2 linked regions of the Ovis aries genome follow. The protein of the gene in region 2 interacts with the protein of the main gene of each other region in a pairwise test. Links are inferred from orthologs where the notes say so. Each region holds a gene or a part of one and is shown on either strand. Other genes may lie near its edges.

Region 1 (3,746 bases), on a different chromosome or scaffold from region 2:
CAGTGTCTGAAGGTTCTCTAGGGTCAGCTGGCCCAGCTGCTGCTGTATCCGGGTGCTGGGGCGGCCCCACGTGAGCTGGTACGGGGAGTAGCCCTGGTAGGTGACTCTGTTGACATCAGCCCCACACTTCAACAGGAGTGACACCAGGTCGGGATTCTGCAGGTCCACTGCCAGATGGAGGGCAGTTCGGCCATTGCAGGGCTCCTGGAACCATAAGGAATTCAAGATGCTTATGGCTGAGTTTGGAAGTTCTGCTTGCAGCAAAAGCCCTCGTATTGAGGACCAGGGTGGCCTGATGTACCCCATTTGAAGGTGTGAGGCACTGACCTGAGCGTTGACATCAGCGCCCAAGGACACCAACAGCTCCACGATGCCCAGGTAGCCATGAATAGAGGCCAAGTGCAGACACGTGTGGCCTAGAAGACCAAAAGTAAGACAGTATTATAACTACTTGTTTCAACACTCATTTCTCAAGCAGAAGCTTTCACCTATTCTTTTTTTTTCTTCATTTATTATTTTCAATTGAAGGATAATTACAATATTGTATTGGTTTCTGCCATACATCAACATGGATCAGCCATAGGTATACATATATCCCTATTCTTTTGAAGGATACATTCTTAATTTGAAGAGCTCAGAATCTGGGTTCTGAATGGACTTTAGAAAGGCATCAACTAGGCCTTTATACATGTTTTCTCCATCTTTCATATGTTGAGAGCTTAGGCCTTGCTTGGCCTCCTTAAGTCAGCCTGCCTCCCCCGTGTCCACCTCACCTGCCCTCTGATGGGCAGGACAGCCAGACATACCATTGTAGTTGGTGGCCTGCAGAATGGAGTGGAGCTGCTGGGTTCCCCGGGGCTGAGTCAGGACTCCCACACTGGCCAGGCAGCCCTGCTCACAGGCAAGGTGTAGGGGGGTATTTCCTCGAAAGTCTCGGAGCTCAGGATCACAGCCAGCTTCCAGAAGTGCCTCAGCAATTTCTGGCTGGTTAGTGATCACAGCCAAGTGGAGTGGCGTCTACAAACAGAAGAGGGACAGAAAGGATAAGCCATGGATCCAACCCACCATCTGTGTTCCCTTGAACCCCAGAGATATCTTGGTTGTGGGTGCTGCTTTTCCCAGGCGCATACCAGGGGCAAAGCAAAATACCAGAGGCCCCAGATGGGCTTCATAAAGGCCTTCCCAAATCAATGGAATTTTGTGTTCTAGAATACTGGCTGACACAGGTGTAAAAAATCAGGGCAGATAATGCCCAAACCTTTGTTAATCTAGAAATCATGTGCAAGACCCGGTTTTATCTCGGGGTCAGAGCGGGAGAGAGAGGTACGCGGCGGGAGAGCAGTACCTGCTGCAGGTTGTTCTGGAAGTTGAGGAAGGCCAGGTCTCCCTTCACTTGGCGGACCACTTCCATGGTGAGGGCCTTCTCTTCATGGATGATGGCCAAGTGCAGGAACCTGAGGGGAAGAGAGGGAAAACCCCCAGGGCTGGTGAGTGCACTGCGTGGGGCCCGGGGAGGCGCGGCCCGCGGGGGATTGCGCAAGGCCGGGGTTTCTGGAGGCCGAGGCCGCGGTGTTTTCCGCGAGGTTATTATGAGCTGAGTGTTCCTGGCAGGCGCCCAGGGACTTTCCGGCCCCCCGCCCCCCCCGCGCTCGGCGGCGGGCGCCGGCCAGACCGCCCCGCCCTCTCGCCCGGCCGGAACGCCCTGTACTTCCCCTCCCGGCCGCGCGGCGCCCGCCAGCGGGGCAGAAACTCCCGCCCCCCCCTTATGCAAGCGGGGACTTCGCGTCCCCGCCGCCGCCCCGCCTCCGGCCGAGGGGACCCGCACGGGGGTGTGCGTGCGGGGGGTGCGCGCGGCTGCAACGCAGGGCCGCGGGACCACGGCCCCGGAAACCAGCGCCGACCCCCGACCCGCCCCCCCCGCCCCGGCCCCCGGCCCCGCAGGCAGCCGTGCACCTTTGCACAGCCTCGGGGTCGGTGCACGAACCCCGGTGCGCGGCCGCTGCGCGGGCCCCGCGCCTGGGGCTGCAGGCCCAGCGCCTCCACCCGGCCCTGCCACCCGGGCCCGCGACACTTACGAGTCTCCGTCCTCGGTGAGCTGCTGTTTCCAGGGCTCGGCGCCGCGCGGCGCCTCCTGCGGCTCGAGGCGGATCTCTCGCAGCTCCTTCACCATCTGCTCATACTCCTCGTCCTTCATGGAGTCCAGGCCGCTGTCGTGGCGGTCGTCCAGCAGCCTCTCCTTCTTGAGCGCGTCCCGGGGGCCCTCCATGGCCCAATCTTGGCCGGGCTCGGCAGGCTGGAACATGGCGCGGTGAAGGCTCGGGCGCTGCTCCCCAGTGCACGGGCCGCGGGCTGCGCTGCGCTCTGGCTGCTCTCGGAGTCGCGGGCGAGCGGGACGACGGGCTAGGACTGTTGTGGGCTCGGCAGCGCCGCCGCGGCGCCCTATAAGCGCTGGCAGGGGATTTCTCCGGGGCGGGGTCAGGCGCGGGGAATTTCCAAGCCAGTCAGACCAGAAAAGAGAACTGGCCTCGTCCTCTGCTAGGGGGAAAAAGAAGCCTAAACCCCGCGCCCGAGTTCATCAGAGAAACTCCCTGTGATGAGCCACTGGGGTCATGTACAGGGAACTTTTTGATGAACGCTGAGTGGCTGGAAAGTCCTCCTGACCGGGCCCCCTCCCCGGGTACTTCCCTGCAACCTGCACGCAGTAATCCTGGCCCTCTGCAAGAAGCTCTCTTTCCCTGGGTTTTCCCGATTTGATCGATTTGATTTAGGGTCGTCAGCTGCTGAGATCCCAAAGACGCAGGCCTGCAGGCTGGTTCTTCACTGGGGTTTACCGACCTGCAGGTCTTTTCCGGTTTTTTTTTAAATCTTTTGAAAACGCGAGTGGAAATGTTGGCCGGGTGTAGGGATTCACTTCCCCAAAGCTCTCTGCGGGGAGGACGCACTGGTCGGTGGAAGGTGGCTGCCTCTGCCTTCCTGCCAGTACCAGGCTCTTAGCATTGTAGGCACCGGCTGAATAGCCAGCCCCAGCCCACTCTCCACTCCCACCCCCACCGCCCGACCCCCGGGTAGAAGTTTCTAAAGCTTTTGGCATTAAAAGCCTAAATGATTGCTGCTACTGCTGCTGCTAAGTCGCTTCAGTTGTGTCCGACTCAGTGTGACCCCGAGACAACAGCACACCAGGCTGCCCCATCCCTGGGATTCTCCAGGCAAGAACACTGGAGTGGGTTGCCACTGGGGAACCGTCAAATCATTTCCTTGGGATTATCAATCCTGTTGACTGGAGGAGAGGCAAGCACTCTGCCCTGTATGCAGGAAAACGGTGAAAACAACCATGGTATTTTTCAAGGAAAGCAAGGTATGAGTCTTTGTAGCAGAGGCTGTAAATCCCTTGAAGTAAGGAAATAATTATGGAGGTCGGGTTCCCTGCTCTGCACTGTGCTGCTGCAGGGAACAGACCCTGAGCATACTTCTGGGTCCTCTGCTGGGTGACTTTGCAGAAGCATTTGGGGAAGGTGGCTGAAGAATGGGTAGAGTAGTGCCTTATCCAAGATGAGGCCTTATGGATGGCTAAGAAATTAGCTGCCAGGCATAGTGCAGGAGGCTCAAGGCAGCCCATGGTGCCCTTCATCCTGCCTCTGCTGGCTCCTTGCTCTCCTGCCTGGGAGAGACATGCATGGGACCCATGCTTGCCATATGGGTAGCCACTCCAGGCTCACCACCCTCCTCTCACCTGCAGAAATAGAACC
Region 2 (3,746 bases):
GCTGGATAATGACATTTATAAATCTGGACAGAAAGAGTAGGAGAAATAAAAAAGGGTCATGGATTATCTTTTATGTAAGTGTCTGAAAGGGACAAAGTCAAGGCTTTCCTCTAGAAGGAGCAAACAGCATCAGTGGCTGACTTGACAAAGAGATCCCTACATTTGCTTTTCCCTGGCCACCACTCAATAAACATTTACCTAGAGCCTACATAATACCAAACATTATTCTAAGCACTTTGCAAATGTTAACTCATTTAACCTTCGTAAAGACATAGGTAACTGTTGTTCAGTCGCTCATTCGTGTCTGACTCTGCAATTCCAAGGACTGCAGCACGCCAGGCTTCCGTATCATTCACTATTTCCCGGAGTTTGCTCAAACTCATGTCCATTGAGTCAGTGAGGCCATCCAACCATCTCATCAGGGTGTGTAGCTAAGTGGTAGAGCATTTGACTGCAACCATCTCATCGTCTGTTGCCCCGCTCTCCTCCTGTCTTCAATCTTTCCTAGCATCAGGGTCTTTTCCATTGACTTGGCTCTTCCCATCAGGTGACCAAAGTATTAGAGCTTCTGCTTCAGCATCAGTCTTTCCAGTGAATAGTCAGGGTTGATTTCCTTCAGGATTGACTGGTTTGATCTCTTCGCTGTCCAAGGGAGCTGGGTTGAAACCCTACCCTGCCTTCCCTTCTGAGGACAGAAGAGACCAATCGTGTCCAGTTGCAGAAGTCAGAGCTGGAGGATTCCTTAGGCATCCTCTTTCTCAACCTCTGCATTTTACAACTCAGGAAAGCCAGGCAAGCTGACAAGGCCTGGCATCTAAAAAACCACCTGACATGAACATCCCTGCCTTACAGCTACAAGCCCTGGTTAGTTTCCACTTCGGCACACACCGCCTTGTCCTTAACTAACTTTTTTTCTCCCCTGTAGCTGAGTCAGTTCCAGCTGCTGGAACAAGAAATCACAAAGCCCGTGGAGAACGACATGTCCAAGTGGAAGCCGTCCCAGAGCCTCCCGACCACCAGCAGCGGCGTGAGCGCGCAGGACCGGCAGCTCCTCTGCTTCTACTATGACCAGTGCGAGACCCACTGCATCTCCCTGCTCAACGCCATCGACGCGCTCTTCAGCTGCCTCAGCTCGGCGCAGCCCCCGAGGATCTTCGTGGCCCACAGCAAGTTTGTCATCCTCAGTGCCCACAAACTTGTGTTCATCGGAGACACGCTGACCCGGCAGGTGGCCGCCCAGGACGTTCGCAACAAAGTGATGAACTCCAGCAACCAGCTGTGCGAGCAGCTCAAGACTATAGTTTTGGCCACCAAGACGGCCGCGCTTCACTACCCCAGTACCCCCGCCCTGCAGGAGATGGTCCACCAGGTGACCGACCTGTCCAGGAACGCACAGCTCTTCAAGCGCTCTCTGCTGGAGATGGCCACGTTCTGAGCGGAGACGCAGGAAAGGGAGCACTGCCTTGGGTTACTGAGGAAAACTGGAAAACACTCTCTGGTTTTTGTAAATCTTGTCTATTTTTGTAGATATTTTTGTATAAAAGTGAAAGACTTTCACATTTCATGGGTTAGATGGCATTCAGAAATTCAGGGAACTCCAGGGGGGTGGTGTGTGGCTTTTTCCCCCCCGTGTTGTTCTTATGTATACACATAAGCATCTGAGACACAAATTGTACAGAATCTTATCCACATGTGTGTGACTACGTGTTCACGTTCGTTTGTAGATGTTTGTCTGATACATTCCATTAAGAACCATGAGATAAGAAGCACCTTAGGAGGCACCTCCCAATGCTGCATTTTCTTTTTAGAAAAACCTACCAGCTGGTTGCAATATTGCTCTACATACACTCGTGATTGTTCCGAGCCTGTCACTCCCAAGTCTGAGACACACAGTACAGTGTGTTTGCAAGTGTTCACCTTCCATAAGGAGGCGGGTTAATACCTTGTTTTCCTTTTTGAAAGCCCCTCCAAAATTGGCCGTCTCGGACATGTTATTGCAAGATGCCTCACTTCTGGTTGAAAAAAAACCCTCTTAGAAAGTTTCAGAAAGTCTTGATATATCTTAACCCAAACTCTGACACATTAGGTGCCAGAGGAGAGACACGTGTGTTGAGGCTGCTTCCTGATTAGCGCTGGGTTGTTTCAACACAGGACGCTGTCCCAACAAAAGGGGACCATGTGTTCCCCAAAGACTTTCTTTTGTGGCCCCACCAGGTGGCATGTGGGATCTTAGTTTCCAGACCAGGGCTGGAACCCATGCCCCCTGCATGGGGAGTTCAGAGTCTTTAACCACTGGGCCACCCAGGAAGTCCATCCCCAGGGCTTTTTGATCATCGGCATTTGTGAGTAATCTGGCCATGAGATTTTCCAAAGGACATTTTCAGATTTGCAAAAAAGCATATTGTTTGCAGCAGGAATTCCTAAAAACACATTGGGCAGTGATCATCCACAAAAGAAGGACGGTTCCACCCGAGTTGTAAGTGGAGGCCTTTCTGACTGACTGTCATCATCCTCTTCGGTGCTGCTATCCCTGGTACCTGAGGGAAGCTGGCCAGTTCCTCAATCACCTAAAGGTTAGAGACGCCAGGCTACAATCTTACTCTTAGGGGAAGTCGTGGCTTGATCCTGTACCCTCCCTAAAACGTGCACACGCACACCCAGCGCTCAGAGCAGCTGTCAGGAGCCCATCTAGGCTTTACAGCTCTGTCTGCCCAATGACCCCGTGAACAGCTCATTCACTGTTCCCCAGCTCAGCACAGCATCCATTCCACAGTCTGTCCTCTGATACATGCTGGGGTTGGCACAGCATCACAAGCCATCGGATTCATCATGGGGCAAATGAAACCCTTCCAACCCAATGGGTAAATGTATTCACAAATCACCAAGTCAAGAAGCAAGTTATTTATGGTTTGTCAGTCCAGTTTTCATTTAATGATCCCACTCCAGTCAACTGGAAAATGTTTGATTTGCAATATATGCCTTGACTTAATTAAGCTTGCTTGCTTTAGACAACCAAATTATTGGAACAGGAGAGGATTTAGGAGAGAAGGATATATGATCTAAGTGGGATTAAATAAAAAATCAGTAAAACTTATCCAGGAGGTGCTTTTCAGAACCAGTGTTGTAGTTCTCAACATTCTATTCTGCCAAAAGAAGTCAGATTGCTGTAGGACAAGCAAGTGTGTGTGGAGGAAGGGGGTTGCTAAAAATCAGCAATGAGTTTGAAAAAGTGTCCTTGTAGATTTCATTGTATCATGTATTTCTTAGGAGATGACTTGTTCTATGCTAAGAGGTGACATTTCATGTTTTCAAAACCAAAATGTTCAATCTGTGTTAATCTCTTTCCCGTACTATATGTAGAGGCTATTTTTAAATCATTAAAATTTTGGATGTCTGTTTTCATAGGCCTTGGGTTTTCTTTTTCCATTTCTTTCTTTGTCACACAGTTAAATGTTAGCTTATTTTGGCACTCCTAACATAGAAAGGTGAATTATGGTGAGTTTATTAATACTATAGATCTGGATTTTTGAGTAAAATTGAGAGCTATACGCTCATTTTGTGTCACTTCAGAATGTATTGCATTTGAAGAAAATTCTGGAATTTTTGAGCATTACCAAACCCAAATGTCTGAAAAAAGGCTTCTCTTCACCAGGAAGCCTGAATATTTAAATGGTAGGTGGGATGGTATCTGCTGTCATAATGTGAATGTACTATTGATGTCATTTTAGAATCAAAGAGAATTGCTC

What was found. The genes of interacting proteins can lie anywhere in the genome.
Region 1: the proteins of NEDD9 (region 2) and NFKBIA interact in binary tests that used the Homo sapiens proteins (3 or more experiments, as listed by UniProt). The two-hybrid records come from large-scale screens. The link is inferred for Ovis aries from reciprocal best matches to the Homo sapiens genes NEDD9 and NFKBIA.

Annotation. Positions count from the first base shown.
Region 1 is NC_056071.1:43,394,958-43,398,703, forward strand, and holds the start of NFKBIA (NF-kappa-B inhibitor alpha), read right to left. Parts: upstream 2,391-3,746; 5' UTR 2,303-2,390; coding exon 2,076-2,302; intron 1,455-2,075; coding exon 1,346-1,454; intron 1,018-1,345; coding exon 807-1,017; intron 417-806; coding exon 328-416; intron 205-327; coding exon 1-204. UniProt on the Homo sapiens protein: Inhibits the activity of dimeric NF-kappa-B/REL complexes by trapping REL (RELA/p65 and NFKB1/p50) dimers in the cytoplasm by masking their nuclear localization signals.
Region 2 is NC_056073.1:44,332,883-44,336,628, forward strand, and holds the end of NEDD9 (enhancer of filamentation 1), read left to right. Parts: intron 1-925; coding exon 926-1,435; 3' UTR 1,436-3,404; downstream 3,405-3,746. UniProt on the Homo sapiens protein: Scaffolding protein which plays a central coordinating role for tyrosine-kinase-based signaling related to cell adhesion. As a focal adhesion protein, plays a role in embryonic fibroblast migration.